Caenorhabditis elegans: one gene and its partner. The gene in region 1 interacts genetically with each later gene. Each region holds a gene or a part of one and is shown on either strand. Other genes may lie near its edges.

Evidence for each region.
Region 2: of flcn-1 (region 1) and hif-1, changing one suppresses a phenotype caused by changing the other (phenotypic suppression), as found in Caenorhabditis elegans (one study listed by BioGRID).

The regions. Positions count from the first base shown.
Region 1 is NC_003280.10:6,926,706-6,931,810, forward strand, and holds the start of flcn-1 (Folliculin), read left to right. Parts: upstream 1-2,064; 5' UTR 2,065-2,154; intron 2,155-2,600; 5' UTR 2,601-2,607; coding exon 2,608-2,701; intron 2,702-3,921; coding exon 3,922-4,001; intron 4,002-4,051; coding exon 4,052-4,155; intron 4,156-4,209; coding exon 4,210-4,294; intron 4,295-4,909; coding exon 4,910-5,087; intron 5,088-5,105.
Region 2 is NC_003283.11:20,778,555-20,785,999, reverse strand, and holds hif-1 (Hypoxia-inducible factor 1), read right to left. Parts: upstream 5,594-7,445; 5' UTR 5,499-5,593; coding exon 5,479-5,498; intron 4,686-5,478; coding exon 4,495-4,685; intron 4,369-4,494; coding exon 4,214-4,368; intron 4,169-4,213; coding exon 3,854-4,168; intron 3,529-3,853; exon of another isoform or gene 3,465-3,528; coding exon of another isoform or gene 3,432-3,464; intron 3,337-3,431; coding exon 2,778-3,336; intron 2,675-2,777; coding exon of another isoform or gene 2,472-2,674; intron 2,263-2,471; coding exon 1,935-2,262; intron 1,865-1,934; coding exon 1,608-1,864; intron 1,528-1,607; coding exon 1,355-1,527; intron 1,307-1,354; coding exon 1,139-1,306; 3' UTR 740-1,138; downstream 1-739.

The DNA of each region.
Region 1 (5,105 bases):
CCTTTTTTCTCGTGAATGTGTTTCTCCTTTTCTCCCGTTCATGCCCATCACCTTTTGGCGCATTGCCAAAAGTGCGTGAGAAGCCGCAGTTCGTTGTGCTGAAGCATGCTTCCTTGTGGGGCGGGAGCAACGAATATGGCGCCGCCCTCCTAGTTTTTTAACGTGTTCTCCGCAATTCTAGCCAATATAATAGTGACATCTAAAAAAGAGACGCAGAATGAGTAGAAGAATGAGAGACTGTAAAATAGTTAACTATTTCTCTAAAGTGTGACAATAGAGAGAGTAATACTTTATGATTACATTATATGTGTCCTGTAATCACGTAAATTAAGATACATTGTTTCCTAGAACCTAATTGGATCATGTTTTTGCAGCTAGTTTGTATGTGGAAAAAGCTCAACTTATTGGAAAGCGATAATTAATTTCAGGAGTTTCCAAGAATTTGGATTCAACATAACATGACAGTCTGAAAAATAAATCCTCCCACTTGTGATCACAGCTGGTCACTTTGCTACCGCCCCCGGCTGCCTGACTCGCATGCCTATTTATTAAAACTGATGTATGTCCGTTTCTGGCTTCATTTCTTGCCCCCTTCTCGATGAATGAAATGACGTCACCAGTTCTTCTTCATCGGTTCCTCGGCGCCAAGTTGTCCAACGCCCCGGCGCCAATTCCTGATGCTTCGGCATCAAGCTATCATTTTCAGTTTGGTTTCTGATGCTAATTCGTGTAATATAACTCTGTCTCGATTGCTCTCTCACAACTTTTCATCGACATTCAGAAGTGAATTTTCTGTGATATTCAGCTTTGAGCTGTGATTCAGCTTTGAACAAATACCTAATGTGATCTTGTGAAGTCAAACTTTAATGAAAATTAAATGAAAGTATTTAGATTGACACGACGACTGAATTATGCTTTCTAAAAACTAATTAAACTTTATATTTCATCAATTGAACGAATTGAACAACGAGGTGGTCCATGTAATAATTATTTCCATCGAATGATTGGTATTTGTGTTGAAAAAAAGCCGCATGTTTCATTTTGTTGTGATTATTATCACCGCACTACTTGTGACTTCCTGTACGCACACTATCCTTTTTCTCCCGCGTAGTCGACATGTCATCATGATACTTTTACGATTCCTTCACACTTTATTTGACTATCCATTGACCGTGTGAAAGTTTGGAATTTTGAGAACGTCAGTCTGAAAATTTAATAACAATATTTATTTTAGACCATTTTGATTATTGTTCTTGGTAAATTTTCTTTTATCGAAACGTTCGTATCATTTTTTCAACGTGTTTAGCAATCAAATGGTACGGTCTCCCATGGAGAAAATGGTCATCTTAACGGTATTTGCCTCCCATGCATGATTTCACGGCGCCCACCCACGCTTTCAAACCGCCGTATTTTATTATTCGTTTTTTTTTTCAAAAATGAGTCAGTCGAAGGAAAAATACGAGGTAAGGGGGTACAAGAGATGTTAAAACACCTACTATTCACTCAAGACTGACTCATAATTCACATTTTAAAGTGGCACACATTTTTTCTTGTCGCCATGAGCTCTAGTTTCAGTTGCCATCGGAAACATCCACAATTTCTGAGGGAATTTTTGCATGATCTTCTTAGCCACGTCGTGGGTCAATACACGTTGATACCCAACATTCTGAATATTTTCTTTTTTTGAAGATTTTTCTTGTTTCTCAAAATGAAGTTGGCGAAACTCCAAGATATTTCAATTTTAATCGCCAAAATTCAAAAATTTTATATTTTGATATAGTCAACAGTTTTTTTCGAAGTAAAAAGTGCTCCAAACGTTAAAAAATTCACCTGTCTGTGATTCGTGTTATACTGCGTCATATCATGTGACTGGCGCCTGAATTGTTTTGTGTCGTGTTACTCTCTAACTCTCTTCACTCTTCACATGCATTTCAACTATTCACAAGCCTGCATCACATTCTGCGTCTTACATTTTTCTTCAATCTCTTACATTTTTTACTCTCTTGGTGCCACTTCTAAAAATGTGTAGTAATTTTTTTAGTACTAAATATATTAAATTTGCAGATATTCATCCACCAATTCCTGGTGAGAATCTCTATTCGACTGCGTCTCTTCATTTGTTACAATACCATCGTCTTTCAACATATAGATAAAGTAAGTTGTTGAAATAATTAAATCTGTTGTGACGAAATAACTTTTCGCAAAATCTAGCTGATTTTCAGCTTATTAAATTTCAAAAATACCTTCGTTTTTTCCCAAAAATGAACACGAAAAAAATTTAAATTTTGCAAGTTTAAAAAGCTTGTTGCAGTCCTAGTGTAATTTTTGAAAAAAAAGTAATTAAACAAATTTATGATTTTTAGGTTAGCGTCAGGCTAACAGATTTTTTTTCGCTCATTTTTATTCGGAAAAAAATCGAAAAAAAAGAAAATTCTCCACTTCGGGTTCAGTTTTAGGGAAAAATTATAGACTAAATTTATTTTTACACGAAAAAAGTCATTTTAGACTTTTTCAAACTAGATCAGTTAAAAATTTGCGAAATGTTGTTTTTATTTTGTTTAAAATAAATTTTAAAAAAAATCAAATTCATGTTTTTACAGAATTCAAATGCAAGCAGTAATAGCACTTTGTCACTTTTGTGAAAACCACGGACCAAGAGTTGTTATGACTTGTCAGCCAATGCGAGACGTTGATGATAAAGGTGAGAAGGAAATAATTTTCAAATTTCAATTATGTTTTAAATACACTAAATTCAAAATGAGATTGTGAATAGAGTAAGGTAGTAGATACTGTTAAAAAAAAGAACAAAAATAGCATCTCGTAATGCGCCATAAAAGTCGCAGAAAAAATTGGTCTAAAAACACTTAAAACGGTTGTTTCAATTTTGGACCAAAAAATGATAATTTAAAATTTTTTTGCTCAAAAACCCCATTTTTGCCAAAAGAAAACTCTAAAAATAAATGAAAATCATGCAAAAATCTTGCCAAATTTGATTGGCTCTGAAATTTTTTGTCAAATAATTCACTGAAAAACCCTCTAAACAATTTTTAAATTTTCCGTAAAAGCTCGCCAAAAAACGGAGATCTTCTAGAGAATTAAAATTCAGAATGTTTGCTTTATGCCCATTTAGTCAAGAATTCGCAACGAATAATTAAAAATTTTTTTAAAAAAGGTCTACATTTCTCGAAAATATATAATTTGTCGCCGATGTTTTTTTTAATTTGAGACAGAAATCGGCAAAAAAAACCAAAAATCTAATAGTTATGGGGAGTAATAAAATTTGGGACAGAAACATACCTCCTCTAATAACCCATAGACCACGACGAAATTTAAAACTAATCAATAGTATCCATAGTTCATTGAATATGATTTTATGGAGCCGAGAAAAATGTATACTGAACATGAAAAGGTCTCATTTTGGCAGAGATAACCACCGGACGAAAAAAAAGATGTGCAGCCAACGGTCTCTCGTTGTCTACGGTCTCTCGTGTTCTCGTAATCTATTTTTTCTTACTGCTAAACAAGCAGAATGTCTCTGGAGACGAAGAGAATATAATGATGGACTGTTTTCATATATTTCATAATAAATGGAACAGCTGAGAAAGAAAATATGCAAAGATATTTTAACAACACACTGCAACTTGCCATTAAAATTTTTTTTTAGTTTACTAAAAACTCAGGAAACATAATTGGAAAGAAATATACAAATGTATTATATTGAAGACTTAGGCTGAATTTCAGTTTATAACTCTTCTAAATAAGATTTCCGGTTATTCGTGTTTTAAAAAAGTGTGCAAGACACGATTTGGAAAAAAACAGGAATCTAGAATTTGATAAAATTAACTTTTTTTCACGAAAATATATTGAGTTAAAAAATTAAATCTATGTGTAAGAACTAATTTTTATTTAAATAAATTTCAGGCGCTTCATGTACAGCTTCAACATCATTAGGACCATCTACAAGTAGCTCACCTCCAGGAATAATAGTTCCTTTAATAAAGGTTCGATAATAATACCAATTTAATTAATAATTTTCATTTTAAAATTTCAGTTCGATGGTGAATGTGTTGTAAAGGAAAAAACTAACACAGAAGATGGCACATCTTATCCCCATTATGGGAATTGTACAAAGTTTACAATTGATACGGAGGACAGGTAATTGAAAAATTAATGTTTTTTTTTTTTAATATTTTAATTAATTTATATTAGATGCTCGGCATGCTCCTCATTTCGAAATGGACCTTGCCTTCTGTCAAATGATCATCAAACAAAAACGAGCTACATCTCTTCAGAGGTAATTTTTTTCAAAACACAACAAAAAACAACAAAAAAAAATTTTGGAAAGGAAGACGAAAAAAGTTTCCCAAAAAAACACGAAAAACACTTTAAAATTTCCAAAAACCGAAATGTTTTTTTTCAAGCTCAAAACGTTATTTTGAGCAAAACTGCTCTCTAGATATAATTTCAATTGTAATTTTTTGAAAAAAAAAAACTGTAAAATTTAATAATTTATGACTAAGAAGCAATTTTTGCCAAAAACACGAAAAAACAAAAAAAAATGGAGAACTTTTTGTAAGAAATTAATAGAAGCTTGAAACGTTTTTGAAAACTTTAATACTTTGATTTCAATGTTTTTTTTTAAAGAAAAAACTGTAAAATTTCGAAAAGCTTTCAAGCTAGGGACAGGTTACCAGAATTTTTCGCCTTGTTTTAAAGTACAATTAAAAAAGTTTTAAAACAATTTTTGCTAACGATGAAAAATAAAGTTGATGAAGAAACATTTAAAAAAATGGCTAAAATTTCAAACTATTTTCTAAAAATCAATTTTTCTCAAAATATCGGAAAAGTGAAAAATCTACTACGCCGACGGGATGTCAATTCGGTTTTTGTAAATATTCTTAATTTTCAGGTAGCACTTCAAGATCGAGTATACGAACGGGTGAAAAATGCGTGCTTACGGTCTCTAAGCTGTGAAGTGTCGGCTGCTTCAAAGAAAAATCCCGTACAACCTCCGCCTCCACCGTTATCAAGGTCTACAACACCCAGAAAGATTCATCCATATGTGATACACGAGGAACCGTTACATGGTTAATTTTATTTCTATT
Region 2 (7,445 bases), on another chromosome or scaffold:
ATAATTCTAGATCTTGATCTTTGATATGGAATTTCAAACCACTTTTGCAAAAAGAATCGGTTTGATTAGTGAAACTTAGCATATTGAAACTTATAAAATTGCATAAAACCCCCGATTGTCGGAAATTATTGAAACTGACAGTTTTCAACATTGACTATTGCATGACCATTTTTTAGTTTTTCTTGTGCAAAACCGAAAAATCGAAAAACCGAATAATTGGAAAACAGAAAAAAGTAAGAAAATTTTTCATTTTTCGCTTTTTCCACAAAAAAAACCGGAGGTCTGATGCGTATATGTATTCATTATCTATTAATATGAATGCAATACTATTTTTCAAAGCGAATGCATTACAACTAGGTTGTGCAATACTAATTTTCATACGCCTTTTTTGTTTAGGATTCCATGTTTTCATTTACAAGAACAACTGTTTCTGAAAGACATTTTGCAAAATTGTGGTTAATTGGAACAAAAATGCAATAATCCTAGCCTTGTTGTAATTTTGCAAAAAAACATTTCAAAATAAACAGTCTAAATTTTAGAAGGTGTTCGAGGTGCAGTACTACTAAGAAGTGAAAGTCTAATAGGAAGATCGTACGTTTGAAGTAATTTGTAAATCAAGACGAATAGATTTAGACGCGTTTTCACTTTACAAGCTCATACCTCAAAATTTCAGATATTTTCCACAAAAATGAATGCTAAACTCTGTAATAGTGCTTTTTGTAAAGTTTTAAAAAGATGATCAAACCAAAAAGGTTTTATCGAGAAGAAAACGAAGACGGACAGAATTTTGAAAATGAATGAGACGAGAGCATTGTGAAAAAATGAAAAGAAAACTTAACATAAGAAGATTCGTTGTATAAATGATGCAATTAACTATCACTATGGAGATGGGAAAAACGGACAAACGGACACACAGATAGACACGTTTTGTACTACGATTCTTCTTTTTTTTACTAAATAAAGAAATCAGAGGGAAAGGGAAAAAGGAATGGGGGAAAATTTATCGGGGAGGATTCTTGAAACTCATTATTCTTAAAAAGAGCAATAGAATTAAGTAATAAGAAGTGTGACTTGAATGAATGAAGAGTATATTTTTGAAAACAAAACAATGAACAGTTTGAGAGGGGGTAGAAAATAATCAAGAGAGCATTGGAAATGGGGAATAAGAACTAGGCTGTTGTTCATTTTGCTGTTGCTGTCCTTGCCAATATGTCTCGTCTTGTTGGAATGGTTGATAATGTTGAGTGTACATAAAATCTAAATCTGAGGGACCTGATTGGTGCATTCGCTTCGCTGGTGGGCTTCTCTGCAAAAATTAACATAATGTTAGGAGCCAAAAACAAAACAGGCTTACGTCAATGTGCACAGGCCGAGCAGCTGGGGCTTGAGGTACCGCAGGTGTAAAGTCAGGCAAGTCGTAAAGAGCTTGAAGCTCTGGTGGTAACCCCTCGTCCATTTGCATCATATCATAAGTGTCAACGAATGGTGCCAAGCACGATAAATCAGGCTCTTCCCATTGAAGATCGTCTGAAAGTTAAACATTTTGTTGAAAGTTATCTGATTTCTTTCACGAATGAGATTGATTTGAACATTTAAAAAAAACTAACCACAAAGTATTGGTTCGCCAGAGGTTAATGTTGGCGACGAATCGATCCTTTCGGCAATGGCGATAGAATCGGCAAAAGGCATAGTGGAGAACACATCATTGCTTCCGATGACTGGGTTGATGCCTCTAGTGGACGACACATTGAGAGTATCTGATGGTGAAAGGGCGGAAAAGCGTCGTGACGAATCGGACGGATCGCAGCTACGTCCCATAGATCGAGCGTCTCCGTACACGACTTGTCCAGATTTGATACTGCAACTGATACAAGGATATTATAAACATGTACATGCTCAACGTGCTAATTGTGAAAAATGTATAAAAAACTAACCTCGGGGGACTGTTAAGTCCACATTGTGAGATGCCCTCTGCAAGTGGCGAGTAGTTGGCACTGTGTGGCAATGTGGCCGATGCTGACGTGGAAGACGATCCAGTTGTTCGACTTCCCTGACTTTGTGCTCTTCGTCCGTATGATGTCTTCGGTCGGGAGGTACGAGATGACGAATCCATGAAGTCCGGCGAGGCCAGAGCGGAACCGAAATTCGACGGTTCGGTTGTCCTGAAGCGGTCCGCTGACCGGTAGCGTGCCGGCGGCGGAGAGCTTGGCTGGTCGCGAAAAAGCCATTGCAAAACGTCATCGTAGCTGTTCTTACGTGCTCCTGAAATACACACGTTAAGAAATCACTTGCTAAATGTATGGAACTTTGAGTAGGCGTAGGGTAAAAAATAATACGACATGCATGGACAAGTTTGACAAGTTTGAAAATAAGAAAAAGAGAAACTCACGGAGGTATGAGGACAACGGAGGGGAAAACTGCGATCTGTTGTTTTTTTAACTTAGTAATCATAATCCCATTTCCCAAAGTACCTCCTCTCCGCCGTCCTCATCCTCTCCGTCAACTTCCATTTTCTCATTATAAATCGGAGCCAGATCCACATCGAATTCCGGTGCTAAACCGGAATCTTCTATGGATTCTGTATCAGAATCCATATCGCAGTCTTCTATATCATTGCCGGCAGAAATTTGCCCATAAACACGTTGCTCATACTCATCCGTCACCGAATAAATTCCTATATACGTACCTCGTAAATTATTCAATTTGGATAAAAAAAACTTAGGTGAATCAAACTGTATAATTACAAACTTTTAATACGTTCTTAAACATGTACTTACCCATATCAGCCTGCTTAACAGGTTCTTCTCCACCAACGACTGGCTCAATAACCGTATCAAATGGATCTTCTGGCTCGATCAATGGAGTAAAATCGACGCATTCCACAATTTCAGGTTGTCTTCCAATATAGTCTCTTGTATCATCCACTTCCTTCTTGATATCTACTTGCATTCCAGCTGGCATTGAATCAGTGCAAACTACCAATGACTCTTCAGCTCCTTGGATTCCGAGAACGTAATGAACACAAATGACATATTGTCCTTTTTGTCCTTTCGTCGTATGTGTGATTGTAGTAGCTTCTGTTTGAATCCAGGCAAGTGTGTCATTTGCAGCAATCAACCGGTAATACGGGGTACGGATGTGTCCTTTGGCAAAAAGTTCCTTCATGGATTTTGATACTATCATCATATCGGCTGGATGTACCAATTCGTAGAAACTGGTGCCCATGAGAGTCTTCAGCTCACTTTTCAAGATGTAATTGAACTTATCCGAAACGAAAGTGATGCGCATGTCGCAAGTGTGACGAGTTGTGAATGCACCCATTGGGCTTTCCGTGTACTGTAAATTAATCCATCTATATTTTTATTAAACTTATAGCATCTATAAATCTGATTTGAAAAAGTTTTCGAATATACACGCCCTTTAGGACTCACTTTTCTATCTAGGTATTCAGAGTCCCTGCTCATTTTACTTTTGCAAACGGAGCAGCAATACAAGATGTAACATCTTCTCCGTTTTCTCTTCTGCTTCAAAAAAGGAGAAGATGACGCCAAGTTGCATGTGCTTGTGCTTCTCTACTTCTCTCCAATTTTCTAATCCTGTTTTCTATGCGCGAGGTGCCAACGGCTGAGTGTGCTTTGCTCAAAGCACTATTCTCTATTTTAAAGATCAAAAGAACAAACTTTTCGAGCGAGCAGAAGAATAAGAAGAAAATGAAATTGTGTAACGTCTACTCAACATTTTGTCTCACAATTCCATCAGTTTATCAAGAAGCGGAAAGGAGGAGCAGAAATTCCCAAGATCAAAAGTTCAAACTTTAGAATCTTACTATGAAACATTCAAAGCAGATATTCACCTTTGTCATTGCAGATGCATTTGCATTAGTTGTACCCTGTCCAGCAGGAATTGTGATACCTTGCATGAATGACACGTGTCCACCAGTTGAAACTTTTGAATGAACCAGGAAAGACACTGATTTGTACAAAGCACTCTTCAAATTCAGACATCTTCCACGTGGGCTGATGACTGTCTTCATTCGAAGCACCATGTTGATGCCGGTGGTGTCTGTGTCCTCGCCACGTGGCTTGTGCAGCATTTTTGATTGCTTGTCAAACTCGTCATAGTCGGATGGATGAAGAAAGTCTCGAAGGGCTCGACCTGTTAAATCTGTCTGAAAATATATCGATGTTAAAGAAGCAAGTTTTCTATTGCTCACCTGTGTTAATCCTAAATACATTGCAACACTTTCAGTGACGTAAAGAATTGAAGAATCACTGTCAACAATCATAACAAAGCCGTCCAAGCATTCGGCGATGGTGTCTTCAGTCCATACCTCATTTGTGATTTCATTGTCCAAATTGTTTTCCAATACTGAAAGAAAAATATTAATTTGAGAAAAATTGGCAGTGATTTTTGGTCGATTTTCTCAGCATAAAACACGATTTTCAAGTGATTTTTGATGTTGAATCAACTATTTCTTTATTCGATGTCACTTACCATTACCGGCTGTCTTGCGCAGTCGACAAATTGTGGCGGCAACACGAAGAAGTGCAATACGGTCTAGATGAGTTACGGTACCTTCTTCAACAATAGGCACACACATTTTCAGATCATCAAATATATCCGATTCTTTAGACCGACGATCACGAGCCGCGTGTCTCGATGTTTCACGACGGCGTTCCATGTTTCTAAAAAGTTTGATTTTGAATTTCTTGTCACCCCAAAATTGGTGAATTTCAAAAAATTATATACCTATATAAGTACACTTCTCATGAGGTTTTTCGATTTAATTTAGTTTTAAGTATAACTGGGAAAATTTATTTTTTCAAAGGTGGAGTAGGAGGAGCCAGTGGAGAAAGTGTTGAAAACTAATCCAATGGTACTAAAATGACCGAATATCAAATTAAAAATTGTCAAAAATTTTTTGAAATTGTTTATTTACCGTCCGTTAGATGATAATCACTCAATTTTTGCCACTCATAATTTTGGAAGCATAGTAGGGATCGGAACATGCGGCATTCCTCAAATACTTATGTTTGTAAAAATTTTGGCCATTTGCCAAAACTTTGACCGGAAATTATGAAAAATCTAAAAAATTTTTAAGTGTTTTATTATGATTTTTGGTTGTTTCGAGCCATTGTAAGTGTATTTTTTAGGCAAAACTGCCACTGGCGCTACTCCACCTTCAATCACAATTATTTCACAATTTATTTTCATAATTTACTTTATCTAACATCTCCGATTAAAAATGAGTTGTGTCTAAAAAGAGCGAGATATATTTTATATAGATGATTCACATTTGATATTCGATTCGGAAATGCGCATTTTCAATACATCTACCTCTGCCAATGCTCCCTCTCTCTCATTTGCGAGCAGAGCATGGAGCAAACCCAAAGGACTACGGTACTTCTAGCGTTTTCAGGCATCCAATCATGGAATGTTTAAGAATGAATTTCGATTCTAACAGAATTCTAACTCTACCTTTTCCGATTGTCTTCCATCTTGATAGTGAATAGGTGCAGCTTCAGTGAAGCTGAGGTTGGTGTGATTGGGGCAACTTCCCCGTAATGACGGGCAACTTTCAGGTGGGCTGAAAATGTATGACAATTTTAAATTGAATAGAATCGGGTAGAGGGAATTAGAAAAATTGTATCAAATGTTCTTAAAATTATCATTGAGAACATAAGGGGTTGTTAGATTTTCGAATGTTAACACTTTTGAATAAAAAATCAAGTTTAGTTATGATTTATAGCACTAGGGTAGAGTGTAGTGAGACAAATTGAAACATCATAAATACCAAGGGTGCACAAAACGATCGATTGGATATGTTAGTGACAGTTGTTTGGACGGGGTCCCAGAGGACGTCAAGATTTGTAACAATTTCATGGACAATTGACTATTTGTTAGGCAAGTATCATAAGAATGTTGCAGAAAACAAATCATAGAGATCAAATGCTCAATTTAAAACCCAAATCTAAAAACAAGAACTTAGGTAGACTGGAAATTTCGCTGAATTCAATTCAAGAAAAATTGTCAATTTCTTTATATTGAGTGAATACAAACTGATTACAAGAATCATGTGATAAGCCAGTGAAGGAGAAAAGGGCACACAAAAAGATTAAAAGCAAAATTTTCCCGATTCAAAAATATAAATCTGGATATTGATGTTACGTCAATGGTATGAATGGGGCAAGATTGAGGGGGTGACTAACATCAAACTATGAATGAACTACGATCAATCTTTGAAAAAATTGTAGTTGAAGTAAGTCAAAGAACAGGGGAATCACTAGAATGTAGTGTTTTCACCGAGCGTAAACAATAATGTTTTTGAAGATAACTATACTCAAGTTCAGAAAGGGTAGTTTGTGTAGTGATTTTAGTTTATCCTTATTATCAAGTGAATTTCAAATAAAATAGTTAAGATCGGGATTCAATCAATCTTTGGACTTAAAGGCGGTGTAGTCGAATTTTTAATTACTCTATTACACTCAAAATTGTCTGAAAACACCGAATTTTCTAATTAAATTTTTGAAAAGGACACAAAAAAACTATGGCGGCCCAAAATATGACAAAAAAATAAGTTTTCAGCCGCTGAGAGTTGCTCAAATTTTAAAATTTAACTGATTTTAGGTCCTTTTTGAGCCACCATAATTTTTTTGAGAAGTTTTCAAAAAGTTTCATTAAGAAATTTGGTGTTTTCAGACAGTTTTGAGTCTAATAAAGCTAGTCCTTACATCTCATATCACACTTTTTAGCTTAATCGAGAAATTGAAAATATCGATACATCAAGAGAGTGCACAATTAATATAAATCCTCAAAATATAATAAAGAATTGTCGAAAGTTATTGGAACATTAAATAAAATCAATAGTCATATGAAACGAGGGAAACAGATAGTCATCATCAACAAGCGGGAGGCGACGACAAAATGTAAGAAGAAAGATGTTGATAAGACAAGAAATTGAACGACAGTGGGCAAAACGACTTCTCAGAGACTGTCGATTGACAGAATGTTAGACAAAAAATTGGGGGAAAGCTAGAGTACAGAGAAGTAGAGTGACTGATAATTGATTAAATTTAGCGAAAATTGAGTTTAGTCCATATCTTTATAATGGAAAGGATCAACTTTTTCCGATATGTGGTTCAGGAGCTATGTTTTGACATTGGAGTTAAATAAAAATTTAAAATACAGATCAATGAAATCAAACCTATTAGCGTTACCTTTGAACTATAAGAATTAATAGATTTTCTGAAAATCTGAAATCTCTCATTAGAGAAAAACTGAGCAGCTAGTGGGCGGTGCCTACAAACCAAAGATGGGCATCCAAACATTTCTTCGTTGATCAAAAAATGAATTAGAGAAGTAGAGTTTTCTCTGAAAATTGAGAGAGGTGAAGAAAAACCAAAAAAAAGACCTCTCATCTAACACACTCTCTTGACCCAGTAAGT